Anolis sagrei: one gene and its partner. Each later gene encodes a partner of the first gene's protein in a complex. Links are inferred from orthologs where the notes say so. Each region holds a gene or a part of one and is shown on either strand. Other genes may lie near its edges.

Region 1 (16,423 bases):
TAAAAACTCTGGCATAGACACTGAGAACTGGGAAGCCCTGGCCCTTGAGCACTCCAGCTGGAGATCAGCTGTGACCAGCAGTGCTGTGGAGTTTGAAGAGGCACGAATGGAGGGTGAAAGAGAGAAATGTGTCAAGAGGAAGGCGCATCAAGCCAACCCCAACCGAGACCACCTTCCACATGGAAACCAATGCCCTCACTGCGGAAGAAGATGCAGATCAAGAATAGGGCTCCACAGTCACCTACAGTCACCTACAGACTGACAAGCATACTAATCCTGGAAGACTATCCTACTCAGTCAACGAGGGATCACCTAAGTAAAATAAGTAAAAAAGAACCTGTGTCCATTCATATTACACAGTTATAGCTCTATAATTCTACTATAACGGCCATGGCTGCATTCTAGAAAAAAAATGGTTTTTCTTGTTGATTTTTAGATATTCAAATCCTCTGGCTGAGAATTGTAAATATTCCAGCATATTGACATGGCAGAAGAGTGGAATCATATCACTATAATTATGTGGTGTGAATGGGCTCCCTTTCCCATGCAAGCACTTCATGAGATGAGGCGATCAGCTGATCAGGTGGTGCAGAGTCAACTTTTCATATTTTGAAACAAGCAAGCAGTAGTCATGTAAGAAAAGTTATTTTTCAGAGTATTTGGTTTCTGCCCAAATAACTGTCAAAAGCAACTTTTAAAGCCAAATTTTAACTTGGAAAATAATTCAAGCCAGCAAAGGTAATTTTACAAACTGGCTATCTCAGCGCCTGATGGCAACGAGCTATTTTTCCATCCCGGGGGGCACTGGCACTAGTATACTAAAGAAATGAATTCAAAATTACTGAATGAATCACACATTGTCAGCAATACCCATTACCAGTTGAAAACAGCCTCATAATGGCACTCTATAACATTGTAGTTCTTATTCCACTTCTGGGTGAAATTTGAGTCTATCCCAAAAATCTTAAATAAGTTGAAAACATTTCCAATTTAGTCCCTACTGTGAAAATAGGGACTGAAATGGGAAAGCTTTTTCTTCATTTATATGATTTCTGGAATCAGAAATGCATCGGAAAACAACTCTTATATCTTGAGAAAGTTGGAGAAGTTCTCCATCTTTGTTGCCATTATAGAAATTAGCTTTATGGAGATCCAGCTTTTTTGTCTTATTCAAAATGAGAAGAGTAAGTTAATATTCCTGTTCTCACTTTCTTAATCCTACTTATGCCCAAAACTAAAAACATGACTTCACTCCTTCTTTAGCAACTGAGCAGAACTGGAAGTACAGAACAGAACACAATTACCATACTGGCACCACTCTTTCAGCCAGACTTAAGATCTCTGCCCTGGAGTGTGGTGGAGGCTCCTTCTTTGGAAGCTTTTTAGCAGAGGCTGGATGGCCATCTTTAAGGGGTGCTTTGAATGCTATATTCCTGCTTCTTAGCAGGGGGTTGGACTGAATGGCCCATGAGGTTTCTTCCAACTTTATGATTTTGTGATTCTAGGATTCTATGATCTCATCAGTCAAAAGCAGGCCATCTCTTCCCATTCAAATACTGGTAAGTTTATGTTGGTTAAAATTGTTCTTTATTTTAAATATTCTGAAGCCCCTGGTAGTGGAATGGGTTAAACTATTGTGTTGGCAAGACTGCTGACCAACAGGGGAGAGTGGGTTGAGCTCCTGCTCTCAGCTCCAGCTTCCAAGCAGGGACATGAGAGAAGCCTCCCACAAGGATGGTAAAAGATCAGGACGTCCCCTGGGCAACGTCCTTGCAGATGGCCAATTCTCTCACACCAGCAGTTTCTCAAGTCACTCCTGACACAATTTTCTTTAATATTGTATTGTTCTTTTCTTTCTTTCCTTCCTTTTGCACTACAAACAGGATATGTACAGTGTGCACAGGAATTTGTCCATAATTTTAAAAGACTATTGTTTGCTCCCCTCAACAATCTGAGGAACCATGAATTGGCCTTCTGTTTAAAACGTTTGATGATCCCTATCCTAGAGTCTAGTACCAAAAATAGATGATTCTAGTGTAATAGTAGTAAAGAAAGCAAAACTAAATATTGGAGAAATTAAGAAATTAGTTAGGATAAAAATGAAGCAAAAGAACAATTTATCAAATGTTGTGAGGCCAAAAATTTATGTCTTGCAAATGCATTATTCAGATGACTGTATGTGGCCATCTGAATGTCATCAGATGGCCACTACATAAATTAAACTGCCTAATTAGGTGTAAATGGAAAAGTTTCATTCTCTCTGCAAAAACAAGGCTAAAGCAGATTAGATCCCCCCCCCATTTTTATTATTATTGCTGTAAACACAAGTAGAGTGATACAAATCTCAAAAATAATTCCGCAAGGTTAAATAGAACAAACAAATAATGATATTCCACTTACATTTTCTCTAGAGCAGATTATGCACAAAACCAAACATCTAAAAATTAGACCATAGCTAAAATTTACTAAATCACTTTGCCAAAATGTAACCTGAAGAATCTACCTGGAGAATATAAAGTTAAGAATAGATTTGTGCTATTAAGCCAAACAGACTATAGAAAAGAAGAACCTTGGACCATAATCAGGGACCCTGTTAGGGTCCAAAGAAAAGCAATAGAGCTGGTTCAAATGGTGCAGATGGAATCCATACAAATTGCAACAAAACTCTGGCAACAAACATGGAAAACAAAACACTGTCATACAGAATGGAAATGAGCAACACATATCCAATTCCCAAGAAAGGGAACACCAGTGAGTGAATCAATCATCATAGCATTATTCTTCCATGCAAGTAAAGTAATACTCAGAATTTTACAGCAAAGATTTTTACCATACATAGAGAAATGCCAGATATTCAAGTAGGATTCAGAAAAGCAAGAGGAACCAGGAATTACTGTATGTACTCAAATATAACCCTAGTTTTTCAGCCCCCTTTTAGGCTGAAAATGCTCTCCTTGGCTTATACTCACGTGAAGGTTATTTATTATTTTACCCTGTTATTAGTATTATTTTATTACATTTATTATTTTACTCTAATTTATTATTATTATTACATTTACATTATTTTACTCTATTTTTATTTTTATTACATTCATTATTTTACTCTATTATTACATTTATTATTTTAATCCATTTTTATTATCACATTTATTATTTTACTCTCTTAATTATGATTGGAAGGATGCGTAAGCAGATTTACATTGAAGAAAGTTAGAATAATGGTTTGATCCAAGTTGGACAGTCTTATCTTAAATTACAGTTTTATGTAAATATTCATAAACATTTATTTATTTATTTATTTATTTATTTATTTGGGATGCTTCTACCCCGCCCTTCTCAACCCCCTAGGGGGGACATTTAACCTACTGATGCCTCAGTTCATGTAATTTTGTTGATATCTATTTTTATTTTGAAATTTACTGGTAGCTGCTGCATTTCCTGCTCTCGATTCAAACTCGAGTCAATATGTTTTCCTTTTTTTATTTTGGGGTAAAATTAAATGCTCTGGCTTATACTCGGGTATATACGGTATATTGGAAACATATGTCAGGTAACAAAGAACACCATCTTAATCTAGTGCTTAATGATTCCTTAGCAGGTTCTCTGAGCTGCAAATTATCAAATAACATGTTCCAGAAAGTCCTAGATGGGATTTGGAATCCTGGGAAAGATGTTATACTGTTTGGCCTACATCAAGCCACATGTATAACTTAAATATTTGATTCACAGGATATTAACAATTCAGAAGAAATCTAAATATGTTTTGCCATTAGAAAGAAAAGTGAAAACCTGGTTATTTGAACAGGCATTTGAATAGGCAGTGCAATGAATTTTAGGAAATGGAACTACGAATGACAAGTTTGGATCATGATTCTAGTTATGAGATGCCAATGAATGAATGTTTATAGTTGTTTAATTGCTTAGTCTGCTATTGTGTTGATTGTTTTTAAATACCTTGTTATGCTGCATTGAATTTTTGCTATTTTGTTGTTAACCACTATGAGTCGCCTAAGGGCTGAGAATAGTAAAGTAAATAAAGTGAAGTAAGTAAATAAATAAATAAATAAAGATCTTTAAATTAACTTAAATGTCTATTGTTGTTCCCATAGGTTGACATTCCCTTCTTCCCTTCTTCTATCTCTAAGCTATTCTGGGACTGGTGGAAAAGTAGGAGGAATGGCAGAAACATCTGGCTGTCCCTATAGCCAGATGCAGAATGATTATATCATTCACTGAGACCTCCAAAGGAAATATTGACATTGAGATTGAAAGGCACTGTGTCTTTAGAGGACTGTGATGGGATTGAAATGTTGTGCTGTTGTCTATACAACATTGTAGAGAACTCTTCTTCACCATTTGTGTATTTCTTCTCTATCACCCATCTGGCTTGTTGGGAACTGATAAACGAAATTTGATCATGTTTTACATTCAATTGCAATCTATAATGGAGGCCAGCAAAGGTTTCAGTCACAAGATGAAAAGGAATGAAAATTCCCTACAGTGAAATCCATAAAAGAAACTGTTTTAAAATTAGAGGAGAAATTAGTACAATACAGTACCTATTTGCTCTAAGCATGCTTGTACTGGAGGTCTGCAATCAAGGTTTATGAGGATTTTTAAAAATTTAAAACAGTTGTTTGTTACTCTGGTTTTGACCTGCGAAGCAGTTCAGAAGAAAAGATGTTTCACCCTCCTCTCACCACATATTTATCTTGATCTAAACTATCCCTTCCTGAAGCTTTGATGATCTCTGCAGGATTGGCCAGGAGGTCCTAATGTCATTCCACAAAAGAGCCATCAGCAGTCCTGGAGAGTTACTCATGGCCTTTTAGATCAGGAAATTGCCTGATGGACATGATGCCCCTCTCCCTCACTTAGCAAAAAGAAAAACCAATTCCATATTTGCCTTAAAATTGAAAGGGGCAAAATCTAATTACATATTCCTCCTATTGCATCTGGTTTTGTATGCCCAATATCCATCATCTATACTGGAAATAATCTTGTGAATTTGTTCAAAGCCTTTATACAAAGCATAAACCTTCTAAAAAGAATGATTTTGTGAAATCTAACAAGAATCATGGATTTAAACTAACCATGCACACATTTCATACACACATATGTAACACGATAACAAAGTGTCAAAGAATATAAGGTCAATACAATACAAGATAAGATATATTAATTGATATGAGTAGAGCAGCAGTGGCTAATGGACACTAGGGCTGATAGGATAGAGGAGTCATCACTGACAAAGCAAAGAACCAATGGTATCTCATTTTCTATGTCCTCATAAGCTGTAAATATCATTTGTACCACTCTGGAGATAGGAAAGACAGTTGAGGGAATAAATGGGCAATGCTCAATTTGCCTAAATAGAAGGATGATCCAGGGCAGTGCTGGGGACCACTAGGATGAATGAGAGATCATTGTGATACACTTCTCAGTCCTTCCCTTCCACTTAGAGCAAATTAGTCATTTTAATTAGTATATTCAATTTGTATTGAAACCGGGAAGGTTGGGAAGGTGAGATATGCACCTACGCTACTTTCACCCAAATGACTGTATGCATATATGCTTGAGCAACAATCATGTATGGGACAGGTGAATAAAATAGGCTTGAGTTCAATTAAATCTTTCTTGCACAGGATCTGATCTTAATGAACCAAACATCTCATTTGTGAACACACACACAAAGAAAATATGTTTTTGAAAACAATATGCAGATTTGAGGTGTGTATATATTATATAGAGGGGGGGGGGAGAGAGAGAGAGAGAGACAAAGGATGGGAAGAAAAAGAGATATGTGATCGAGTGTGTTGTATCTGCAATAGTGGGAATAATAATAAAACATTAACCACTTCTTATCCCTGGGGGGAGCTCTACTCATATATTTCTGCAGAGTTTTCCAACTTCTCTGTCTCATCCTCCAAGCTATACAACTTACAACTTTGAAGTCAGTTTTCCAATTCAGTTTTATTTGCCTTATTTATACCCCACCTTTCTCTACCCCGGGGGGACTCAATCCACAAGTTAGTTTTCTCTAACTCTATTCTCACAAGCCAAAGGAGACAGCCTCTAACTTCTACTTAGGCCACTGCACATGTGTTGAGATGGCAGTTTCTCCCACAGTAATACTAAATCTGAATTTTCAAGGAATGTGTCTAAGAGAATAAATTAATATACAGGTTTTTTTTTCTCCCACTAACAGTTTACTCATTGGGGTTATGGCATCTGTAAGTGTGATTCTTCTAGACATTGTATTGTTTGGATCTGGCAGAAAAGTATTACTCAGATAAAATTTTTACTAGAAAAATAACACCCAAGACATCAAGAACTTTTCCCTTCATTAATTTATCCTTCAGCTCCTTTTTCTTCACAGTTTACATGGTTTTCCTTGAGAATTGGAAAAACTGTATTTTTTCGTTCACATAAGACCATAAATGATATGGGTCCACAGACATGTAGCCCGGGGGGGGGCTTGAGGGGCTTCAGCCCCCCCCCCGAAATTCTCATGGTGGTTTGTGAAAAGGCCTTACTGGTGCATTATTTAAACAGTTATGTTTATTCATATCATGATCTGATCACCATACTCAATATATCCCATATGCATGGGGGTATTGGGATAACGATACAAAAGATTTGCTAGGGTAAACCCTCTTTCACTCAGTCTCAGCCCCCCCCCCCGAAACAAACTCACCCCCCCCCCCCCGAATCGAAATCCTGGCTACGGGCCTGGGGTCAGGGAATCAAGATTTCTCATTGACATTATCATTTCCCCAAGCATCTTTCAAATCCCTTGAGCTGGCTTTTGGGCAACTCTCACGATTGCTAAGGAGAAGGGACCAAACAGTGCAAGTGTAACAATAGATGCTACCTGAAAAGACCTAAAGAACTCACCAGACACCTCAATAATATTGCTTACCTTATGATGACAAACATCACTAGAGAGTTGCCAACCAAGCCCACCACAAAGACCACAGAGTAGACTGCAGTGATGATGATGGGAATAGCTGGGGAGATGTTGGTGTGGTTCTGCTGTAGGTCTTCATACATGCCACTACCATTGTTGCCATAGTCTGCCAAGTCCAAAAGCCTACTTTTGCTGCTCGGAGTTGGAAGTGAGCATGGTCCAGGGGAGCAAGTAGAGCTTTGTTCCTCTCGGAAAATGTGCACTGGGGGATCCATGGAGAATTCCACTTCAAACTCAAGAAGGGAAGAGACAGGAACAGCCAATAACACTGGAAAGAGAAGGAGATGATAATGAAAGTGCTATTCATACAGAAGTCCCTAAACAGAAGTTCCTTCAGTTATAATTCCCGAAGTCCTAAACACCTTTAAAAACACTACAAGTGAAGAGAAATAGAAGTGAAATAAGATAACACACAGTGCTCAGAAACAATTTTTTAAACCACCATGAATTCAGAAACATGACTCTCTAACAAAAAAAGGAAGGCTAATTCACATTTCTGTTTTGTCAAAGATTTGTTTTAATTTTATTTCTCACCTTGTAGGACTCGTTGAGGAAAAGCCTTACACTCTTGATAATAGGTTAATGAAGACAGGTTTGAAACTCCTTTGGACTTTTAAAATACTGTGCTGGAGCATCAAAATGTTAATGAGTTGCCCAGATAAGTTTCGTTCATTTTCCATCAAGCAACATGTTTTAAAGATCAAAATACAGTTCTTTCTGATCTCTTCTCTTTCATCTCATCATTTACCTGTTCAAACAATATAAGGGATCTTTCCCAACTCAGTAACATAAGAAGAGGACACAAGCTACAGTTGTGTTTTAAATGTAGGTGGAATACAAATATTACATTTCAATAATAGGTCAGCAATAAAGATTTTAAAACACAAGAGTAAAGAAAAATTAAGAAACAAAAGAGTAGCAACATTACCTGTTTAAACTGAAAGAGGGAAAAAGTATGGTCTCCCTGAGAAAAATCCTCATATGCTGAGCAGCACCCTCTCCCTTTCTGTCTCTGATTCACTTTTGTAACTTAGAATCTGAAGGATTTGTTTGCACTCCTGGAAATGAAGAACAGCTGTATCTCCGAAGGATTAGCTCTGGACCGACAGCAGCAGCAGCAACAGTCCCTTGTAGCCTCCACTTTACCTTTGCAGCAAGCAGACTCCCTCACACACTCTGTCTCCAACTCTCACTCTGCCAGCTTTGTCAGTCCGTTGATACTCCAGCAGCCCCTGCACACATTCTCTTCTCAGCTCACATGACTTTTTCTCTAGACACCAAAAGGCAGGCAAAGTATGAGGCAAGAGGGAGACAGCTTGTTCTGTGCACCTGAAAGATTTGTGCCACCCTCTACATTGCTTTCACATCCATATCTTAATCCTTCCCCAGATTTTAAGGTTTTTTTTTAGCAATTAGATCCCTTCAACCTATTACTGCTGTGCTGGTTCCCACATCATTAGTTATATGAGGTGACAAAGAGAAATTTCAGATCCAGCATATTCACCTGGCCACATGATATGTTCTGAAAGAATTGTTCTCTTAGGTGCAGACACTATGTCCCCTGTTCTGTTCAGTCTGTATTAAGGAAATAAAAGTGTCCTCCTTAAAATGCAGCAGAATGAATGAGGCAGATTCACACTAATGCCCCTATAACTGAAGTTATAATACTAAAATGTGACAAAAACATTGTGATATGTAATGGATCCCTAAATCCATTACATATCATAATGCTTTTGTCACATTTTAGTATTATAACTTCAGTATGTTTGTGAAAAGAACAAAACATCTTGTCACTCTTTGCCTAGTTTTACCTCTCTATTAAACTTTCCAAGTAGTCTAAGATGCTTGGAAGTATATTACCATAAACTGACAGTTATCAGACTTTTTTTGTAATGTTTGCCCAGACAAGACAAAGGTAAAATTGTTTGAACCTATCGAGTCTCATTATTTGAATCTACAGGTTGTGTTGCTGCCTGGAGGAAGAGGAGGAGGAATTGGAGTAGCAATAAAATCTTGTCATGGGTCTCTGCTAAAAAATAAGATCATGGGAAATTAGCATCGGCAAAAAGATTAGCAAGAGACAAGATGAAGTGGTTGGAGATGAAGTGGTTGGAGGGTTCAAATTCCCAACTAGCCACGAAAACCCATTATATGGCCTTAGAAAACTCATGTTCTCTCAGGCCCCTTCTACACTACCCTTTATATCATAGGATCTGATGCCAGATGTGATGAATTGCCTACCTTTGAGGCCAGGGGAAAGCTCAGAAAGTAGGCCCAGGATTTCGGGAGCCATTTTATGAGAATGGTGCAAGGAGGCAGGCATCTTAGATAACCCATTTCCTAGAGGGGACAGAGCTTAGGAGCAGCCTGGAGGGAAATGTGAAGAGCCTTTGTGATTGGCTAGGAGAAAGTGGGCAGAGCTTAGCCAGAGTGGAGAAAAAATTGCCTGTAAGGGTGCGTTTTCAAATCTGACAGCTCAGTTAGCGTCTGGTGTTTGAAGAGTTGAGTCAGGGTTTGTCTGGAGTTTTTAGGAATTATAGTCAGAGGGAAGTCTGATAGTTTCTGAGGGAGTGAAGAGTCGTTTTTGGAACTAAGCATTGAACTGTTTTTTAAAGTAACCATAGGCATCTACTCATTATCGCAACCGTTAAGCTTAAGTGCCTGTATTGTTGAAGTTCTCACAAATAAACAACTTTGTTCTTTGTTAAACAACAACTGACTCAAGAGTGCCTCTATGTGAAATAGTTCCATAGCAGTAAGGGAAACAGAATTTTAAGATTGGTGGCAGCGTTTACTTAAAAGAAACTCAGTGTTATTTTACCTCAAAGTTCAGAGCTCTGAGTGTGAATCTAGCACAATACAGCTTACTTAAAATCTCTTGCCAAAACAGAAACTATAAATTACTTTTAGGTGTGGTGGTAGCTAGTGATCACAGAACATTAACTAAGAAAATAATGTGTTTGTGGAAAAATCTCAACAGCTTCCAAACACTTAGTTGAATTTATATACTAATCCTTAACAATTGGTGATACAGTAGTGGGATGAATAAAGGCCTCCTGCCAGAAAGTCATTTGAGTTTGGAGTCGAAGTTAATTAATCAATCTTTATTTGATTAAACGATGTGGTTGTCTTTTACATTTTTGGTGGTACAGCATTGGAATTGTTATAATAAAATTCCCCATTTGTTTCACACCAGATTTTTTGTTCTTCCCAGATTATATGACAGTGGAGACACATATAATCTATTTCAAAGCAGATAACCTGGGATCAGATCCTGGGATACAGGACAGTGTAGAAGGGGTCTCAGATGGACCTTAATGACACATTCACTCTGAATTCTTGCCAAACATTTGGATTTTGATTTGGAGTAAACTGTAAGGTTAACAACAGCTAAAATGCCAGCCCTACTTTTATGCATTATGAGGTGGCACCTCAACTTCCTGATGTTGGGAAATTGTGGCAAATTTCTTTTCTGCTGTATTCTCAAGAAGTTCCTTTTCCTAGGACTGCTAAAGCAAACCATTTGAAAGACAATGAGCCACATCTTTGAGAAATCCCTCTGGGAGAAGTCCAATCCTGAAATACATAATTGTTCAGTAACTCTCCATTTAGTATATCAACTATGCCAAGGGCACAGACTGAACCAGAGAGAAGAGAAAGGACTGCACAAAGTGCAGAAAATTTAATTATGCAAACATGCCCCAAAGGCAAGTTTAAACCTAATGGGCCTATAGAACGAGGAAATTTGCAGTGTAGACACATCATCCATATTAGCTTACATGACAGATTCCTTAATCTTGTTCTTAATACTTTACATTGTATAGCTTCTAAAACAGCTGTTAATTTATGAGTCAGTATAATTGAGCATTATATTTTCACATTTTGGTCTAAATATACATGGTATTCCTACTAATTTTTATAGTACAATGCTGCTTGGATACAATGTTGGCCTTATCACATGGGGGAACTCACCCCCCCCCCCAAGCACTATTTCACCAGCCTCCGTGGTGGAACAGCAGGGATGAGAGGTGACTCTGTCACACAGGGAAATCATCGACGAAGCGGTGTGGATTCATGCTGACTCCCGTGTTACAAGGGAAGTGCTGTATGATGCTTCCACTCCAGTTTTGGATGGACTTCCAGCAGAAGTCCAAGGACATTGTATGAGGGGCAGCATGCTCATCCATTGTTGGACTGGCAGGGAAGCATCCTAGGATGCTAAAAAAGCCCCATGTGATGAGATCATATGTCACCATTTGTAAGTTGAAAATCCTTGTAGAAAGAGATCTCATGATATACAAGTTGTGCTTAACTGAATGCTATCTCTGCACATACCTTCATGATGGAGTAAGCACTGATGTATCTTGTAGTTTAAAATATGATGAGACAAAGTGAAATTTTGGCTAAGAATAGATTTACCTCTATACAGCCTAGACTGGTCCTCCATGATGCTATATTTCAACCAAGTCCTCTAGAAGACAGGTTGGTTTTAGGATTGATTATAGGAAGCTACGTTCACCTGTTTTGCATGGGCAGACTTATGTCAAACAGGACAGGCATACTCAGCAGTTGAGTAAGACAAGGCCAGGGCTGATGTTCTTATTAATTTTGGGTCTGCACCCCATGTGCTCCCAGTAAGTTTTCACAGGATACTATTGTGTGCAGCTATTTTGTGCTTGGTGTTCAAGCAGTGTTTCCTATATGCTAGTGTTCAATCTAAGATATTTAGGATGGAAACAATGTTCAAGCTCTTGACCTTCCCAGGTGACTTTCAATTTCCTGTTGGCTTCATGGCTGCGTAAACTGGATTTCAATTGTTTCAAAGTCTTTTGCTTGTGTTGTTAAGCCAAGATCATCAGCATATATAAAGCTCTTTGTGAGTGGGGTTTGTGGCTGATCGTTAGTAAAGATATTAAACAAGGTCGGTGCAAGAATGCTGCCTTGGGATAAGTCATTCTTTTGCCTCCTCCATCTACTTTTCCTGTCTTCTATGTTCTATGATAAATGAGGGGGACATGGGATGATCAGCTGTGGCATAGTTTCACATGCTACAACTATTCTATGTTGAGCCTGACTGGATTCTGGACATTGGTGGATGGATGAATGATGCTCAGAGATTGTAGTAGTAGGTTAACACATTTAGGTGATCTCTGATCAGCTAACAAAATCTAATTGGGCCAAGCTCAGAATTACAATACAGCAAAGTAAAATACAACAAATCTAATTGAATTGCATTTACATTAGTAATGGAAATGAATTCCTAGGTTTGTGGTAAATTAACATTTATATTTATTATTATTTATACCTGCATTTAAGGCCTTCCCAGAACAAAGCAGGGAATGCCAGTCATGATTATTACAGATTACTTGCTTTCGTGCATAGATCCTTGCAAAAGTTTCAGGATTAAGAGCTTCAAAAATCAGTTTCATAGGACAGATGAGGATCTTCTTTGTGGGCACTTCTTAGAAAATAGGAAGAGAACCTGGATGCAAAGAGGATCACCTCCTTCTACTAACCTTACTACTTTTATGTTTAAAATCATTTAACCTTGGAAATTACTTATGCTGTTCTAAAATAAGTACTGCCTCACACTTATGTAATACATTATTTAATTCTAAAATTGTGCTAATGTTGAAATTCCAAATTAAGTCAATTTAAAAATAAAGTTTTTTTATTAGAAAAACATTCCATCTTAATTAGCTTTAGCTAGTTAGTTCCTAACTAACTAGCTAACTAACTAGAGTTAGTTCCTAACTCTAATGAAGCTTGTAGTTCAAGCCACAATTAGTCTTAAAAATTGAAAGGTTTTGCTAGAACTGATGCCCATCAATCAATTTTCTAATTTTTCCAGCCCTCTGTAGCTTGTCTTCAACCTGATGAGTTGGTGTCTCTGTCCTGGCCTTTCTGAGTTAGCATACACTCAACAGGCACAGATCCTCTTTTACAGTCCCAGTTAACAACAACAGTATCTCAAACAGAATCGTAAATTGTTCCCCTTTTTGAAAGACTTAAACATACAATATATGCACTGCAGTCTTTAAACATTGGTTTGAATCCCTTTGCCACAGGTAATGACAAGCAGCTTTTCGGCTACAGTAGGAGGAATGTCTATTTGTCCCAACTTTATCAGATAAAATGTAATAGAAGGACTGCCATATGCCAAGTCGAAATATTTTGTTTTGTATGTAATAGACTCAGTACCCTGGAAACCAATTAATAATAATAATAATAATAATAATAATAATAATACCCCACCACCATCTCCCCAAAGGGGATTCAGGGCGACTAATATGAGGCCAAGCCCAGAATTACAATACAGCAAAGTAAAATACAACGAATAAGTAATAAACATCAAAGTAAAATACAAAAAATAGCAAAATGTACAATAAACAAATGCAAAAAAATAAAATGGTGGAGGAATAAAAGCACAATGGATGGACCAAATGCACAGAAATAAAATAGATAAAACCCTGGGTGAGATAAGTAAATGGAGTAGTGTGTGTCTGAGGGGAGAAATCAGAAGGGATGAAACAATCGGGTTGACCTTCACTAAGCGGTGAGAGAAAGTGCATCAGGAGGACAGACCTGTATTGGGACACACATGGTATGGGGGTATGTGTTCATTCCACTATGGACTAATGCCTGCTCCCAGAAGAAAAGAAAAAAATAGATCAAAAAGTTCTACTCCCAACCTTATTTCATTTTAATGCATACACTTGTAATGTACATGAATTACATGCAGACTAAAGATATTCATGCCCTGGTGATCAGGCATGCCCAAAACAGTAGCTGGACACAACTACTTCTCTGAATATGCCACATGTTCAGGACAAAGCTGCAGATACCATTTCCCAGCGCAGTGATCTGTAGCAATGTCAGCTAGATTTTGCCAGGTTGAAAAGGTGGGGTTTGGGCAAACAAGTTTGATCTTTACAGTAAATGTGAACCTCTAGCATCTACAAGAGCATACATACATAGCTGGATACCATAACTGCTGTATGCAATGCCAACCCCAGGTCTCTTGGCATGTTAAATTTAGTAAAGTTAAATTTAGTGAAGTATACTTTGATATTCTCACCTGAACAAAGCTGAAAAGCAGAAAAATATCCAAATGATCATTTCTCAGATACACTATCAGTTCTTGGGAAACAATATTCGTACTTAAACAACAGATGGTGCTTTTACAAATACAAAAATCTTTGTCTCAAGGGGTTGGCAAACTAACAAATGATGCAGAGGAGGCAGATCGTTGTTATGTGTATAAGAAGACAGAGAAGAAAGAGATGCAGCCAGCCATCCATAGCCTGGCTCTTTTAATACCTCATAGAGCAACAAAGAAAGAAAAGTCTCAGTAATGCAAGGAAATGTTTTCAGACCTTCATGTAGTTTTTGTTGCTAAGGGAACACATTTTCTTTCCTATATAGATTTACAATGCCTTTGGGAAATCTGACTGTCATGTAATTCACAGGGGGAAAGGACATACAAGATTTTTTTAAAAAACTTTTTATTTTGAATGGGTGAGATGTATCAAATCTGTTGATGTGACATTCATATAATTAGATGCAGTGCATTGCAAATGCTGCATACAGGGTTTAAAGTTCAGTTGCAAAGGGATCTGTCATGTAGGCTGTAAATTACGACACTACAGTAATGGGTAACTACTACTCTTTCCAGCTAGCCTTTTATTTTGTAATAAATCATGGTCTTACAGTTCTTATTCCCCCAAAAGCAGAAAAATATCCAAAGTTTATCAGGACATAAATGATCAGAACTCGCAAAATATCTGGAGTACCTACTCAAATCTTGAGAGGCAGGAGTTAAATAAAATCTTCCAAATAGGTGATAAATATAAGGTTTATTGTAAGGGAAAATGACTATAGGGTACTAACTACACTCCACCCTTGGTGTGAACATTCAGCAGAAGTGTGAACAGACGCCATACATATAGAAATATGCATTCTCAAGCCTTCCCTGGCAGTGTGCATGTATGTATGTGTGTGTGTGTGTACATATGTAGAGGGGGGAGGGAGAAAGAGAGACAGAGGCTGGATCTACATTTCCATTTCCATATAAAATCCAGATTATCTGCTTATAACTCCATTATATGGCAGTATAGACTCATATAATCAGGTTCATAGCAGATAATATGGATTACCCACTTTGATAATCTGGACTACATGGCAGTGTAGACCTAGCCAGAGATAGAGAGAGAGACAAAAAGATAGAGATAAAGATACATACACAGCTTGAAAAAGTTACATTTTTGGGTGAAAACTCATCCAAAATTACTGGTTGACACATTAAAGAAATTGTAACCCAAAAACTAACTTATCGATTCTCTGGCTAATAGTTTAAATGCACTCTGTGTGTGTGTGTGTGAGTGAGTCAGGAGTGACTTGAGAAACTGCAAGTCATTTCTGGTGTGAGAGAACTGGCCATCTGCAAGGACGTTGCCCAGGGGATGCCCGGATGTTTAATATTTTACCACCTTTCTCTCATGTCCCCGCATGGGGAGCTGGAACTGACAGAGGGAGCTCAATCTGCTCCCCCCCCCCCCCAGATTTTTGTCGGTCAGCAAGCCTGCTGGCACAAGGGTTTTACCGAGGGCCCCACCATTTATGATGAAGTTACTCCAGTTCTCAAAAGCAGATATCCGCTTCATTTTTGTTAGTTAAACAAGCATAAATACTTGAATACTGAAGTTCTCCCTTTGATAGCTGCTTCTTCAAGGATTACATCAAGGCCCCTTCTACACTGCCAAATAATCCAGATTATCAAAGCACATAATTCACATTATCTGTTTTGAACATAATTATATGAGTCTATGGAGCCCCCGGTGGCGCAGTGGGTAAAAGCACTGAGCTGCTGAGCTTGCTGATCGAAAGGTTGCAGGTTCGATTCCGGGGAGCGGCGTGAGCTTCCGCTGTCAGCCCTAGCTTCTGCCAACCTAGCAGTTCGAAAACATGCAAATGTGAGTAGATCAATAGGTACCCCTCCGGCGGGAAGGTAACGGCGCTCCATGCAGTCATGCCGGCCACATGACCTTGGAAGTGTCTACGGACAACGCTGGCTCTTTGGCTTAGAAATGGAGATGAGCACCACACCCCAGAGTCAGACATGACTGGACTTAATGTCAGGGGACTACCTTTACCTTTTTATATGAGTCTATACTGACATATAATCCAGTTCAAAACAGATAATCTACATTTTCTATGGCAGTCTATATGGGGCCCAAGAGCAGTGCCCCTTTTAAACTTCAAGATGAGAACTCCTTCTATTGAAAGAAGGAAATGAGAGGAAAAGGGTATCTAAGGTATTGAGTGAGAGCAGAGCTGGCCCAAGACATTTTTCTATCTGAAGAAAACATAAAGTTGATATCTCCTTTTCATACAGAAATAAACTGAGTTCAACCTTATTTTAATAGGAGATGTCTTCTGTCACAATGGAAGGGA
Region 2 (16,356 bases), about 190 Mb from region 1:
AATACATGTTGATAACACTGTTCAACGGAGAAAAAGTTGCGGGCCTGAAAATAGTTGTTCTTTTATGATTTTAGGGTGCTGAAAACGAAAATGACATTTAAAAATGTATATTGGCTCTAGTTTTTATGATATAAGCAATCACGTGATCACGTATGGTTGAAAAAATGCATGTTGCGACTTACACTATGGAAGATTCTAGAATATTCTAGAAAGTTTGATGACGCAGTATTAGTGCCGTGTGCAAAAGCCAGAAAGCCCTATATAAGGCCAGACTTTTGAACGGTGAGGGTCAGTCAGTTGAAGACTGAGACAGTCTCATTAAACATCGTTTTACATTGTTCTTTTGACTGTAGTTATGCCTCCTCGCACGTGTGTAAATAAAGCACTATGGAAAAAAGATATCAAGGCCAATGGACTCTGTCAATGCTGTCAGACTACTGCTGGAGCATTGCAAGAGGGAATCCTTTCCTTGAATACAAAAGAAAAGTCAAGAGAAGCAAACAGGATAGAAACTAAAGTCACGATTAAAGCGACATTTAAACTTTCAGACTTTTCAACTGCATTAGGCCTACTAATACAGTTTCTTGCTGCACAAACATAAACAATAGACTAATTAAATAAATATTTCTCATGTATAAACTAATGGCAATATAATTTGACTAAAATTTAGTAAATATTCACGGTTTATATACATGCAGTAAGGTTAGGTGCATTATCATAATATTAACGAATTACCTATTGTGGAGAAAATTGAAATAGCTGTTGCATAAAAACCACAGCCAATTAACACATTTAATTATTATATTTGAATTCAGCATGTTAAATTTATTAAGAAACGGCACATTTCATTTCCGCAACTGAGAAAAACTGAAAATTTGTAGAACAGTGAAATATACAGTGTTCAGGGTACAGTGTTCTAATTTTAATGTATAAGGCAGGGAAGAGAGGCATCATGTTGTAATGGTTGGGCACTGAACAATCACTCTAGTCAGCATGTTTTGGAGGTAAGCTCAGCCATTGAAATCCACTGGGTAAGTTACACTCTCTTGAACTCAGAAGGATGCCATGGCCAATCCCCTCTGAACACATCTTGCCAAGAAGAACCTGCTTAGGGTTGCCATAAGCCACAAATGGCTTGAAGAATCATAGAGTCATAGAGTTGGAAGAGACCTCGTGGGCCATCCAGTCCAATGCCCTGCCAAGAAGCAGGAATATTGCATTCAAAGCACCCCTAACAGATGGCCATCCAGCCTCTGTTTACAAGCTTCCAAAGAAGGAGCCTCCACCACACTCCGGGGCAGAGAGTTCCACTCAAATAAGTTGTCCTGGAGGACCTCAAAATTCAATGTCAAAGAGTGGCAACTTCTAAGAAACCAGCAGATTTTTCAAAACTGGAACAAAGACCTGACAAGTTTCCCCATGCCTGCCTTAGACTCATCTGGACAACTTAGCAATTGTTATGGGTTCTGCACATAACAAAATAAGTAGTAAGATCATTTTCAATGGGCTATCTTGTTGACACAATAGGGTCACACAGGATTGTATACAGGTTGTATACAGAGGTCTGGATGGCCCATGAGGTCTCTTCTGTCCCTATGATCCTTTGATACTAAGACATGATCAGATATCTGCAAGAGCCTTGTCTCACACTGAGGAGAGGCCAACTTGAGAAAAAGATCTTAAGGCCCTGAAAAATACATGAATTTTACACATCAAGAGGCACAATGGGGGAAATTCAACCCCACCTGCAAATATTAGGACAGGCCATCCAAGCCCAGCCAGTTGCTGAGGCGACAAATTGCAGGTTGCCTCAGGATCACTTCAGACATGAGGAGACATTGTTATTGCGTTGCTCCGCTAATGCGCTTTATTTTCCCCATTGCCAAGGGTCAGCGATGCAATTTAACCCAAATAAAAGCAAGCTGCGTGGGATGCTCTCCAGATGGACACCTTATTATGGCAGGTGAATGGAAATGCTCTCTGCAGGGTACCTGAGAGACAGTGAAGGGATAACAATGGGAGGCATGGTAAGCGGGAAGAGGGTGGGCAGGAAAGAGAAGGAGAGGGAATGAGAGTCTGCTTCCGATTATTTCAATCTATGGCCGGTGAAAAGAGCCCTTCAACCGCTGACCTCAATAACCCAGATCTCATTTTTGCTAAAAGGGTGCATTTCCATTGGAAATGAGAAAAGGGAGATTTCTTACTGCTCTGAAAACCACCGGAAAAAACCAACAGTTCAAATCATACTCAATGTGAGACAAAGTTCTTGAAGATATCTGATCGTTTCTTGGAATAAGACCTCTATATACAACCTGATCAAGAATCATGTGTGATTCTATTGTTGCACACCTGGTCAATGACAAGGTTTGTTGTTCATTCGTTCAGTCACTTCCAACTCTTCGTGACCTCCTGGACCAGCCCACGCCAGAGCTCCCTGTCAGCCGTCACCACCCCCAGCTCCTTCAAGGTCAAGCCAGTCCCTTCAAGGATGCCATCCATCCATCTTGCCCTTGGTCGGCCCCTCTTCCTTTTTCCTTCCATTTTCCCCAGCATCATCGTCTTCTCTAAGCTTTCCTGTCTTCTCATTATGTGGCCAAAGTAATTCATCCTGGCCTCTACTATTCTTCCCTCCAATGAGCAGTCGCGCTTTATTTCCTGAAGTATGGACTGGTTGGATCTTCTCGCGGTCCAAGGCACTCTCAGAACTTTCCTCCAACACCACAGCTCAAAAGCATCTCTCTTCCTTCGCTCAGCTTTCCCTATGGTCCAACTCTCACAACCATAGGTGACTGCAGGGAATACCATTGCTTTTACTATGCGGATCTTCATTGCCAGTGTGAAGTCTCTATTCTTCACTATTTTATCTAGGGTATGGTGATACTTGTTTGTATTAATTATAAGCCAAATGTGAAGTTATTAATTGTTAATTGTTGTATTTCATCATTCTACTTTCACTTGACTTAGCTGATGGTTTGTTGACCGAAATAAAGGCTACTGACTGACTGGCTTATCGAGGGAGGGTTAAGGAAGGAATGCTTTCAAAATGGCACTATGTTCTCCTTTTTAGTATACTGACCAATTAATTCACCTGTCTTTCCTCCTCCAAGTTCCATCCTCCAAAGCACTAAAATTATGATTCTCTTGTTTGGTTGAGAATTTGGAATGTGACTACCTTATTCCAACATGTTTCTCTAGTGCTCTTTATTCAGATTTGATTCCTTCAAATTTTCAAGTACTGTAGTTTCATCTGCTGCCATCCTCTATACAGGTATGTTCCTATTGAAATGAATGGAATTCATTCCCATGTAAATGGGCATACAGTTGGGCTCTGCTCCTATATGCCCTGTCTTTATTTTATTTTTATTTTTATTGACTAATTCAATGCCTTTGCTTCTCTTGGAGGGGAAAGGATAAAGGCAAAATCGATATCCATTTTGAGGTGACATTTCTATCAGTTATAGGTTGGTCTCTAGAGGGCAAATCCAGAGAGGTGACGCTCAATTCCTAAACCCAGAGTGAGAAAATGTTGTGTGGGTTTGTTTGTTTGTGTTTGGACAGCTTAACACTCCCTCTTCTCCAAATCTGGGAACTGTAATAAAAAAAAACTCCAGTCTTCCCTCCACATTTGCAGGTTTTACTTTTGCAGATTTCATTAGTCATAGATTTGAATAGGAAGTTGACCATAGGGTTGCATTGGAAGTTGCAGTGGAAGTTGACCACAAGGTTGCATTGAAGGACCCAGACAATCCTAGAGATAACACTTTTCTGGATTTTTGTAGGTCTTCCTGAGCAATTCTAAGGTCAACTTCCACAAGAAGCTGATCATAGAATCAAAGAGTTGGAAGAGACCTCATGGGCCATCCAGTCCAACCCCATTCTGCCAAGAAGCAGGAATGTTGCATTCAAGTCACATCATCAAGTCACATCATCAAGTCACACATTCAAGTCACACATTCAGGTCACATCATCAAGTCACATTAGAGGAACTAGAGCAGTGTATCTCAACCTCCCTAATGCTGTGACCCTTTCATACAGTTCCTCATGTTGTGGTGACACTCAACCATAACATTATTTTCATTGCTACTTCATAACTGTAATTTTGCTCCTGTTATCAATCATAATGTAAATATCTGATCTGCAGGATGTATTTTCATTCACTTTACTAAATTTGGCACAAATACCCAATGCACCCAAATTTGAATATTGATGGGGTTGTGGGGGGGGGGGGTAATTTTGTCATTTGGGAGTTGTAGTTGCTGAGATTTATAGTTAATCTACTATCAAAGAGCATTCCGAACTCCACCAACAATGGAATTGAACCAAACTTGGCACACAGAACTGCCATGACCAACAGAAAATACTGGACGAGTTGGTTAGCCATTGACCTTAAGTTTTGGAGTTGTAATTTACCTGCTGCATCCAGAGAGCACTGTAGATCAAATTTGACATGATAACTCAATATGCCCAAATATGAACACTGGTAGATTTTGGGGAGAATAGACCTTGACATTTGAGAGTTGTAGTTGCTGGGATTTATAGTTCATCTACAATCAAAGAGTATTCTCAACCCCACCAACAATAGAATTGGGCCAAACTTCCCACACTGAATCTCCATGATTAACAGAAATGTTAAGTGTTTTCCAATGGTCTTTAACAACCCCTCTGACACCCCCTCATGACCTCCAGGGGTCCCAACCCCCAAGTTGAGAAACACTGACCAAGCCATTCCTAGAGATAACACTTTTTGGGTTTTTGTAGGTCTTCCCATGCGATTCTAGGGTCAACTTCCACAAGAAGCTGGTCATCAAGTCACATTGGAGGAGCGAGAGATTTCTATATCTATTTACTCAGGGAAAATTCAGATTTTTTTTCCCCACTCCCATAGGAGTCCTATATGCATTACTTGAATGTGGAGGACTGACTGTAACCTCTCCAAAATCTGCCCAAAGCAGAGATTTGAGATGCTCTTGCACTTCCATCATCCATACCCAGTGTACTCAGTAGTGAGGAATGCTGGAAGTTTGAGTTCAATGAAATGCAGAGAGCATATGATTCCCTCCCCAGCCCCAAACCCTAAAGTTCCACCCTCAAGTTCATTAAAGCCCCTTCTCTTCATGATATCAAGCTGGTCTTTCTATCATCAAATTGGCAAAGGGTTCCTGCACTGCTTGGCTGAGCATTGGGAGCTTACAAGGGAAAGGGTAGCAGTTGAGATGGATGACCCACACAGTTCCTACTTGGAAGTATTGCAGCTGGAAAAGAACTTGGTTTTCTGCAGCAGATGAGGGGGAGGCATCTATAGGTCAGAGACCTCTCCTGAATAGGCATTGGGTTCCTCCTCGGACCGGGTGGTCACCTTGAACTGGCGCCTGAGGAACCCTCCATAGCGCTTCTGATTGTCCCACTTGAGCTTTGGGCGGATCCTACGCAGGAAGCCTCCGTAGCGTTTGTGGAGGCCCTCCAGCTCTTGCTCATCATCTTCAGTGGCGGAAACCATTTCGTAGCCTCTCTTGGGGTATTTGCGGAGGAATCCCCCATAACGTTTCGTCTCATCCTTGAGAGACCCTGTATCTGACTCTGCTCCATTGTAGGCCAGATCTCCAGTCTCTAGCACTGTGGGGTAGTCTTCCATCGCCGGCTCAGAGGCTGCCCTCTCTCCAATCTTCCGGAAGAACCCACCATACTTCTTGCTGATGCCACCCTTGGTGAGGGCATTCTCTCGCAGCAAGGAGAAGATCCTATTTTTGTCCAGCTTCTTCATGAATCCACCATAACGTTTGACCAGACTGGAATATGGCTCCTGGGGGGCTTCCTCCTCTTCCTCCAACTGGAAAGGTCTCTTGGCTTTCTCCTCCTCTTCCATCAAGAAAGGAATGAGGGTAGACAAGCTGTCTTTGCACTTCTCCCATTCTGCCCTGGATGGCAAGGAGCCCTGGCACTCCAGGGAGCAGATCTGCAAGACAACAACAAGGAAAGGTCTTCCTAATTTTCCGAGAAGGATCAGAAAGAAGTCAAAAAAGATTTGACAGTTCAATAGAAATGGATGCAAGCCTTGTTGTTTAGATGTTTTATATCCATATATACTTCAAATCTCTATGTGTGTGTGGACGTATAAACACACATTGGACACCCTGGATATGCCAGTATGTCTGTGTTAGGAAGTTGTGGAATATATACACATACATACATACACACACACACACAGTTGGAGTTTATATGTGTGTGCGTGCATAATCTACAACCTCCCATCACACACATACTGGTAAATCCACAAAACGTGTGTCCATTGTGTGTTTATATATATATTTAAAAATGTTTAAGACTATCAACTCACCTGCCGATGAATTTCTGCAGCAGGCAGGTTCCTTGCTGACAAAAACCGTATCACTGAGCGAACCTCACATGCGGATGGTGAGTTGATAGTCTTAAACATTTTTAAAGCACAGAACAGAACCCTACAGGTTAGCTACAGAGCGGAAACTGAGCACAGTTGTTCCCGAGGCATGCCGGTACACGACACACGCGTTCGTTGCGGTATGCGCGCGAACTACTAGTGTCTACAACAAAACGGACCTTACTTAAAAAATACCCCTCGTAGTTACTCTAATTCATCTTTATGTTCATAGCACAATCCATCCTGTCACTGCATGGCTTGCTACTGAGAGAGGGCTAGATATGTCATATTTCACCCCCTTTCTCTTCTGCACCTTGGAAGTTCCTCTGCTGGAGTGGCGACATAGTCTAAAAGATAGTTTTGGGAAGAGTAGCATAAGAAGATGCAGCTGTGGAGAGGTTGCGGTATTATCATAGTTTTATCTCCTGATGGAAGATTTTGTCTATTATTAGATCTTAGCCAGAATCCTGTTAATGACATAGATGTGTATATCCTGTGTTATGCACATATATGATTTCTTCTGGGTGGCGATTCTCTAGCCTTTTCCACTTCATCGAAAGACATCCACCAAGATGCTGCTGCTGCTGTTGTTTATTAGCAAGCAACTCACACGAAGAAGTGGCTGATATGCTTGATTAAAGTTACAATAAATGTGTTTTGTTGAACAGGGCCTCAAACCTGATAAGAATTCAAGTGTCACGCTTTATCTGCAGAATTTTATTCACTCGGCTAGGCAGGGATAATAAACCGATGGCCCATGCCATAACTTACCAAGGGTTTGATGGGCTTCTCTACATCCTGGACCTGCAGAGCGCATGCGGAGCATTGAGTAGCACAGTCTGCAAAAGCAGAAGGAGCCAGACCGAAGCAAATGGTCAGTCCCAAAAGCTGCCACACCATTCTTCCCAATAGACACCTGAAGGGGAAGGAAGAGAGAGAGAGACATGATTATCCATTTATTTTGGGGGAGAAGCAATCACAACCCAAAAGCATCCAAAATACCAGCAGCTCCGAGACAGCAAGAGCCAGTGTAGCATAATGGTTTGAGCACACAGTAATAACTGAGCCAGTCACCAAGCCTTTCTTGGATGGTTGGAGACATTGTAGTTTAATGATACAACACAATAGCAGACCATGCAAAAGGTCCCAGGTTCACTCTCAGTGAAAAATGTTCGGAACCAGGAGAATCCATCCATCTGTTGTATGCTTTGAAGTCATTTCTGACTTCTGGTGGCACTGTTCCAAATCTTTCTTGGCAAAATGCATTCAGAAGGGGTTTGCTATTGCCTTCCTCTGAGGCCAAGATTGACTTGCCCAAGGTCATACAATGTGTCGATGCTCAGAGATTCTAACCCTGATCTCCAGAGTCGTAGTCCAGCATTCAAACTAGTACACTTTACTTGCTCTTATAGATTGCTCACACTGTCTGAATTATCTCAGTTGTTCTAAAGTGTTCCCATTGATTTGACTTGCATGTGGCTCTTTTTTGCCAAGATAAAATAAGCAGTGAGGGAGACTGTCCCATGGATTTAGATGTCTCCATGCTAATACACGGAGAATGGGAAGCAAACAAGATGAACTTGAACTCTTAGCACAACAAAACACTTATGATGTAATAGCCATCACTGAAAAATGGTGCAATGAGTTCTATCATTGGAATGTAGTAATGGAGGGGTATAACTAATTTCAGAGCAATAGACCAAATAGGAGATGGGGAGCGGTAACATTATATGTTAAGGATGTTTACACCTGTGAAGAGATGCAAGGTTTCAATCCTGACAATCAGATTGAGAGCATCTGGATAAGAAATTAAGGGAATAAGGACCGAAAAAGATGTAGTTGTGGGGGTCTACTACATACCTTAAGGACAGACTGAAAACTGGATGAAGCCTTCCTTGACCAGATGACCAAACAAGCAGAAAGAAGAGATAGAGTAGTAAAGGAGATTTAAACTATTTGTGGGGAAACAAACTCTGCCAAGAGTACAAAGTCCAACAAATTCCTCACTTGCCCTGATGACAGTTTTATTGTCCAGAAGGTGGAAGAAGCAACAAGGGGATCCACTATTGTGGATCTGATCCTAACTAACTCTGAGGATCTGATCAATGGAGTGGAAGTAGTAGGATTCTTAGGTGGGAGTGACTATGTGGTCTTGGAGTTTATGATACAAAGAAAGGGGGAAACTAAGAGAAATCAAATGCATTTTTGAAGAAGGTGCGAAGAAGGTGGTGAAATACTAACAGGGGATAGGGAAAATACAGAGCTACTCAACACTTTCTACACCTCAGTCTTCTCCCAAAAAGAGTTTGGTGTTCAACCTGAGCAATACGGAGCAAACAAGGTAATAGGGGAAATGCAGCCACCTTCTACACCTCAGTCTTCTCCCAAAAAGAGATTGGTGTTCAACCTGAGCAATACGAAGCAGACAAGGGGAAATGCAGCCCAGAATGGGTAAAGAAAGATGTGGTCCTGAAATATCTGGCTACTCTAAATGAATTCAAGGCAGATGAACGACATCCAAGAGTATCCAAGGAACTAGTAGAAGTCATTTCAGAACCACTGGCAATAATTCATATCCTTCCCCATGCAAATTTAGAACAGTTTCAGAGAGGGATATTTTTGAGCTGGACAAATATATATATATACTAGCTGTACCCGCCACATGTTACTGTGGCCAACCTTCCCTCCCTCTTTCTTTCCTCCTTTCTTTCTGTCCTTCCTTCCTTCCTTCCTTCCTTCCTTCCTTCCTTCCTTCCTTCCTTCCTTCCTTCCTTCCTTCCTTCCCTCTTTCAGTCCTTCCTTCTTTTCTTTTCTTTTGTTGTCTCCTTCCTTCCTTCCTTCTCTTCCTCTTCCCTTCCTTCCCCCCTTTTTCTACCTTGTGAGAGAATTGGCTGTTTGCAAAGACGTTGCCCAGGGGATGCCCGGATGTTTTGATGTTTTTGATTCCCTTCCTTCCCCCCTTTTTCTATCACTTCCTCTTTCTCCCTTTTCTCTCTTCTCTACTTATTCTTGGACTGCAACTCCCAGTAGTCCTCCTGATCAATTTATCAACTTGATTTTCTATCTCTATCAAATGTATCTATCTATCTGTAGGATTGCTGGGAGTTTCAGTCCAGGAATAGGAAATTGGAAATATGCAGGGATTGGGATGCTCTCAAAGAAATCCAAGGAGAAGAAAGCTTGCAGCTTGGAAGCAGTGCATTTGGATCATCCTTCTCTCCTAAAGGGCCTGGTCTAGGGGATGCTGGGAGCTGTGGTCCAGAAGAGAGTGTGGATATGCTATTTTGTGTTTTGTTTGTCGGGGAAGTCATTTTTGCACATGCGCTGTAGCCTCTTTTTGCTTTTTTGGCTTTTTAAGTCCCTTCTGCTGTTTTTATGAGTGATGGTAACTTGTTGGTTTTTTGTTTTTGTTTTTTGTCGTGTCAGGAGCGACTTGAGAAACTGCAAGTCGCTTCTGGTGTGAGAGAATTGGCCGTCTGCAAAGACGTTGCCCAGGGGACGCCCGGATGTTTTGATGTTTTTACCATCCTTGTGGGAGGCTTCTGTTATGTCCCCACATGGGGAGCTGGAGCTGATAGAGGGAGCTCATCCGCACTCTCCCCAGATTCGAACCTGCGACCTGTCAGTCTTCAGTCCTGCCAACACAGGGGTGGGTTTAACCCACTGTGCCACCAGAGGCTCCACTTGTTGGTCTGATAGGTGTATTGTGTCCAAATTTGGTGTCAATCCTTCCAGTGGTTTTTGAGTTATGTTAATCCCACAAACAAACATTACACACACAAACATATATAGGTTAAGCATCCTACATACACATCTTTGCTCAAACAGGCAGTTCTTTCTCACTAAAAGGAAAAAACAAGCCATGAGTCTGTGCACTTCTTATGCCAAGTCCACTTTAGCCCTGTCTGATTTAAAACATATTCCAATATCGCTTGGAGCAAGAACAGCCTCACAGCCCATTAAGCATAGATTTCTTGTCTGCCATCAACTGTCGTACTATTGAAAAGGGAAAGGCAACAATGAATGACAGATGGTCCACATTTCTACAGCCTTTAGCTTGGCGTAAATAGGCACAGGAGTAGTTTGCACAGGGTCCTAACACCACAAGACGTTTGCACAGCCATGCCCATCGCCAGAATCTTACACTAACCAACTCTCAGCCATGTATTCTGCATTTGTTGTATGTATGTAATGCTTATATTAGCTGTGCATTTTTCACACTGGATGATGGCTGTTGCCGTGCTTTAACCATGTTGGTATTTGCTTGCACTTAAGTAGGATGGGGCTACTGGAGTGTATCTTAATGCCTGGCAGATTTATGGCTGTTGCTGCAAAAAATGGGTATTAACTGCCAAATGCCATTCTCATGAGAGATCTGGGTGACAAGATATTTGGGTTGGCCTTGCTTATTGACACATTGGGTGAAAAACCACAGAATATTTGCATTATTTTACATATATCTGTATTGTGCCGTTATTCATGCCTTGCATCTAACAATGTCCATTGTATAGTGAGCATATTGGTGCAGCATATAAAACAGCAGGTGACCAAGAAGTCAAGATGGAAAGGAGTCCCTGCTGCTCTGTCCCTCTGTCTCATGGCAAAGCAGAGTTACAAACCCTTTGCTCCAGAGTATTTGTTGAACACTCAAAGCACTACACCACACTGCCTCTGGACTTTCTCTTTCCCTCAAGGTGAATAGGGCAGTGGTTCTCAACTTTCTTAATACCGCAACCCCTCAGTCCCTCATGTTGTGGTGACCCCCAACCATAACATTATTTTCATTGCTACTTCATAAAGGTAATTTTGCCACTGTTATGAATCATAAAGTAAATATCTAATATGCAGGTTGTATTTTCATTCACTGGACCAAATTTGGCACAAATACCTGAAAGGCCCAAATTTGAATATGGGTGGCGTTGGGGGGTTGATTTTGTCATTTGGGAGTTGTCATTGCTGGGATTTATAGTTCACCTACAGTCAAAAAGCATTCTGAACTTCATCAACGATGGAATTGAACCAAACTTGGCACACAGAACTCCCATGACCAACAGAAAATACTGGAAGTGTTCGATGGGCATTGACTGTAAGTTTTGGAGTTGTAGTTCACCTACATCCAGAGAGCACTGTGGATTCAAATAATGATGGATCTGGACCAAACTTGGCACGAATACTCAAGATGCTTTTATTTCTTTTTCTTTTTTGTCGTGTCAGGGCAACCAGTCAGTTATATTACATTTCTAACAGAACAAAGCAAACAAACAGAAAAAATACAAAATTTGTGAGTTTGGTAGTTGGTTGACCAGTATCTGGCCACTTGGAGTGCATCTGGTGTTGCTGCAAGAAGGTCCTCCATTGTGCATGTGGCAGGGCTCAGGTTGCATTGCAGTAGGTGGTCAGGGGTTTGCTCTTCTCCACACTCGCATGTCGTGGACTCCACTTTGTAGCCCCATTTCTTGAGGTTGGCTCTGCATCTCGTGGTGCCAGAGCGCAGTCTGTTCAGCGCCTTCCAAGTTGCCCAGTCCTCTGTGTGCCCAGGGGGGAGTCTCTCATTTGTTATCAGCCATTGATCGAGGTTCTGGGTTTGAGCCTGCCACTTTTGGACTCTCACTGGCTGGGGTGTTCCAGCGAGTGTCTCTGTAGATCTTAGAAAACTATTTCTTGATTTAAGTCGTTGACGTGCTGGCTGATACCCAAACATGGGATGAGCTGGGGATATGTCTGCCTTGGTCCTTTCACTATTGGCTGCTACTTCCCGGCGGATGTCAGGTGGTGCAATACCGGCTATGCAGTGTAATTTCTCCAGTGGTGTAGGGCACAGACACCCCGTGATAATGCGGCATGTCTCATTAAGGGCCACATCTACTGTTTTAGCGTGGTGAGATGTGTTCCACACTGCGCACTCAGCAGCAGAGTAGCATAGCACAAGGGCAGATGTCTTCACAGTGTCTGCTTGTGATCCCCAGGTTGTGCCAGTCAGCTTTCGTATGATATTGTTTCTAGCACCCACAATACTCAAGATGCTGAAATGTAAATACTGGTGGAGTTTGTGGAAAATGTTCCTTGACATTTGGGAGTTCTTTCTCAACCATACGGCAACTCAAGGCAGGTTACAGATTGGCACCATTCAATGTCATGCATTCATAAAAGTACCATTAAAAATAATCAACATTACAATATAAAACATAAATAAAACCATTATTTTTTATTTATAGTTGCTGGGATTTATAGTTCACCTACAATCAAAGAGCATTGTGAACCCCACCAATGAGAGAATTGGGCTAAATTTCCCACACAGAACCCGCATGAACAACAGAAAATACTGTTTTTTCTGATGGTCTTTGGCAACCCCTCTGACACCCCCTCACCACTCACCAGGAGTCTCGACCCTCAGCTTGAGAAACACTGGAATAGGGGGAATCTCAAGAGCATACCCTTGATATCTATGCATGTGTTTCTACTTTCGTTTGTTGTTTTTCTTGCCGCAATCTCAAGTTCTGTGACAGTCCTGGAAGACTCAAATCTACATGCTCTAGCATTTCAGTCCACAGCTGGCAATGGAATAACCTTCTGTGGATGTGCTGAATTCTCTTTGAGATCACCTGGAGTTTATGACCCCCCGCACATCATTCATTTACCTTCGTATGAAAAACTACTCTAGTGAATCCACTGCCAATCCATTTCTTTAGGCAACCTTGAATGTTCCTATTATGATAGATGAAGGTAGGGGGGCTAGAAATGTGCTTTCTTTGTTTTCTCCTCATCGTTAAGAGCTCTCTGCTGTTATATTTCCTCCGAAATGGAAATGCCACAGATGTTTCAGTTTAGTTGCATTTCAATGCAATGTTCTCAGAGCACCTTTCAATTAATCTGAGATCTTCTCCCTGCACCCCAGATTTATAGGCTAATGTCTGCAAACTTTGTGATTTTCCTAAGTTCATTTTGTGCTTAGGTGCCATTCTGGACAAGTGTCTGTGTTGATCCGTGGGTTCGATGTGTGACTAATTCTGCTACTTCTGTCTTTTAATTATTACATGCAAACAGCCAGAAACAGTGGTAAGCGATCAAGCCAGCAAATATATTGCATCCTCTGAAGATGCTAGCCACAGATGCAGGTGAAATGTCAGGAGAAAATGCTGCTAGAACACAACCATACAGCCCAGAAACCACACAACACCCCCAATATATTGCAATGGTTAACTCTCTGAACTCTTTCCTCAAGCCCAACTCACCAAACCCTATGCAGACCACAGTTCTTCTCTTTGGATACAGAGCTACACTGTAGAATGAATGCAGTTCGACACTGCTTTGACCGCCATGGTTCAGAGTTAAGGAATCATGGGAGTTGCAGTTTTACAAAGTCTTCAGGCTTCTCTGCCAAAGAGTGCAGGTGCTTCAAAAAATTCCATAACATTGAGCCAAGGCAGTTAACGTGGGATCAAACTGCATTGTTGCTTTGATATAGATGCACCTGAGGTCCTCTTCTGAAGCTATTTCAATGTTAAGGAATCATGGGAGTTGCAGTTTTACAAGGTCTTCAGCCTTCTCTTCCAATGAGTGCAGGTGCTTCACAAAACTATAAATCCCAGAATTCCATAGCATTGAGCCAAGGCAGTTAATGTGGGGTCAAAGCTGGAATGTGTCCAGAGGAGGGCAACTAAAATGATCAAAGGTCTGGAGAACAAGCCCTATGAGGAGCGGCTTAAGGAGCTGGGCATGTTTAGCCTGAAGAAGGGAAGGCTGAGAGGAGATATGATAGCCATGTATAAATATGTGAGAGGAAGCCACAGGGAGGAGGGAGCAAGCTTGTTTTCTGCTTCCTTGGAGACCAGGACGCGGAACAATGGCTTCAAACTACAAGAGAGGAGATTCCATCTGAACATGAGGAAGAACTTCCTGACTGTGAGAGCTGTTCAGCAGTGGAACTCTCTGCCCCGGAGTGTGGTGGAGGCTCCTTCTTTGGAAGCTTTTAAACAGAGGCTGGATGGCCATCTGTCAGGGGTGATTTGAATGCAATATTCCTGCTTCTTGGCAGAATGGGGTTGGACTGGATGGCCCATGAGGTCTCTTCCAACTCTTTGATTCTATGATTCTATGAAACTGCATTATTTATTTGATATAGATGCACCTGAGGGCCTCTTCTGAAGCTACTTCAGTGTTAAGGAATCATAGGAGTTGCAGTTTTACAAGGTCTTCGGCCTTCTCTGCCAAGAAGAGCAGGTGCATCATAGAATCATTGAGTTGGAAGAAACCTCATGGGCCATCCAGTCCAACCCCTTTCTGCCAAGAAGCAGGAAAATCGCATTCAAAGCACACTTGACAGATGGACATCCAGCCTCTGTTTCAAACCCTCCAAAGAAGGAGCCTCCACCACACTCCAGGGCAGAGAGTTCCACTGCTGAACAGCTCTCACAGTTAGGAATTCTTCCTAAATATTCAGGTGGAATCTCCTTTCCTGTAATTAGAAACCATTGTTCTGCATCCTAGTCTCCAGGGCAGCAGAAAACAAGCTTGCTCCCTCCTCCCTATGACTTCCCCATACCTCTTGAAACATGGTCCTCATCATGTCTCTTCTCAGCACACCAGGACTGTGGTGCAGCTGGCTGGGATTCAGCTGCATTAAGATCACTGACTGAAAGGTCATGAATTCGAAGCCAGCCCGGGTCAGAGTGAGCTTCCAACCAATTTGTGTAGCTTCCTGTTGACCTTTGCAGCCCAAAAGACAGTTGCATCTGTCAAGTAGGAAATTTAGGTACCACTTATACGGGGAGGCTAATTTAACTAATTTACAAGGCCATACAAATCTCCAGCAAGCATGCAAATAATGAAGAAGTACTCCATCAGTGTCACAAATGTACAGTGAAGTGACAGCTCCCCTGGTGGTCAGAATACCCTCACGAGAAGCTGGAGTGTTAATAGCCTCTGAGTGTCTGTCTATATATGTTGTGTGTCTATGGGATTGAATGTGTTAGGGTTCAGCCTGTGTGTGAACCTGAACCTGAACCTGATTCTCTGATCGTATTTCCTGATGCTAAGGTATTTCCTGATGCTAATGAGGATGTGGATTCTGAGGTCAATGTAGAAGAAACTCCTGCAGCCTTGGAAAGCGAACGTCCAAATTCCCATGAGAATATTTCAGAGCCAAGCGGTGAACTTTCACTCCCTTCTGGCTCTTCAGAGAATCTGACACCTGAAGATAGGAGAGGGCAGATTTGGCAGAGCAGGGGGGAATCGCTAGGTTTACGAAGGTCAGCTAGATTGACAGAAATGCAAACAAGGCCTTCAAAGCCTTCAGGCGTGTCACGTAATAGGTTTCTCGGCTTTAAGTGCCTCCCGCTCTTTAAGACGCTCCTCATGGGGCTTGTTCTTCAGACCCTTGATCATCTCCAAACTACAAACCCCATAATTCCATTGCATTGAGACAAGACAGTCAATGTGGGGTCAAACTGCATTATTTCTTTAATATAGGTGCACCTGAGTTCCTCTTCTGAAGCTTCTTCCTCCCTGAAGCTGTGGCTCTCTCTCTGGCCTTCTGAACATCGCAGGCAAACCCAAGAGGGATCTGTTTTATGACTCCCCGGAGATCACTTTTGGTTCTCGTTCTCTCACTCTCTCCTGCCGGAGCTGACTTCATCATGCCCTCTAATTGGAGCTGATGGAGAAATATGCTAATGGTTGCCATCTTCATTTGTGCTAAATTAAGATGTAATTTGAATGATATGCATTATCATATGTCGAATTATCGACGTTAGCAGAACATAAATTGTGCCGAGCGGCTGGATGCAGCTTCCCCGGGCATGATTCACTCTCTGATAACAATGCGTCGCAAGCATTCGGCACCTTTCATCTCCGATCGCAAATTGCCTTAAGAGCATTCATTAATGAAGCCTCCCCAACCTGACTGAAAGAGCTGAGCATATCTTTAAGGGAAAGGGAATTGGAAAGAGAGGTTTTACTGTAAC

What was found.
Region 2: the proteins of OPRK1 (region 1) and PDYN are in contact, whole or in part, in a cryo-EM structure (PDB 8F7W), measured with the Homo sapiens proteins. The link is inferred for Anolis sagrei from reciprocal best matches to the Homo sapiens genes OPRK1 and PDYN. Residues at the interface, in NP_000903.2 of Homo sapiens: Thr111, Gln115, Trp124, Val134, Ile135, Asp138, Tyr139, Met142, Lys200, Glu209, Cys210, Asp216, Tyr219, Lys227, Val230, Phe293, Ile294, Glu297, His304, Ala308, Leu309, Tyr312, Tyr313, Ile316, Tyr320; in NP_001177821.1 of Homo sapiens: Tyr207, Gly208, Gly209, Phe210, Leu211, Arg212, Arg213, Ile214.

The regions. Positions count from the first base shown.
Region 1 is NC_090024.1:50,892,400-50,908,822, reverse strand, and holds the start of OPRK1 (kappa-type opioid receptor), read right to left. Parts: upstream 8,285-16,423; 5' UTR 7,899-8,284; intron 7,239-7,898; 5' UTR 7,186-7,238; coding exon 6,923-7,185; intron 1-6,922. UniProt on the Homo sapiens protein: G-protein coupled opioid receptor that functions as a receptor for endogenous alpha-neoendorphins and dynorphins, but has low affinity for beta-endorphins.
Region 2 is NC_090024.1:239,522,535-239,538,890, reverse strand, and holds PDYN (proenkephalin-B), read right to left. Parts: upstream 7,308-16,356; 5' UTR 7,295-7,307; coding exon 7,166-7,294; intron 5,954-7,165; coding exon 5,297-5,953; 3' UTR 4,656-5,296; downstream 1-4,655.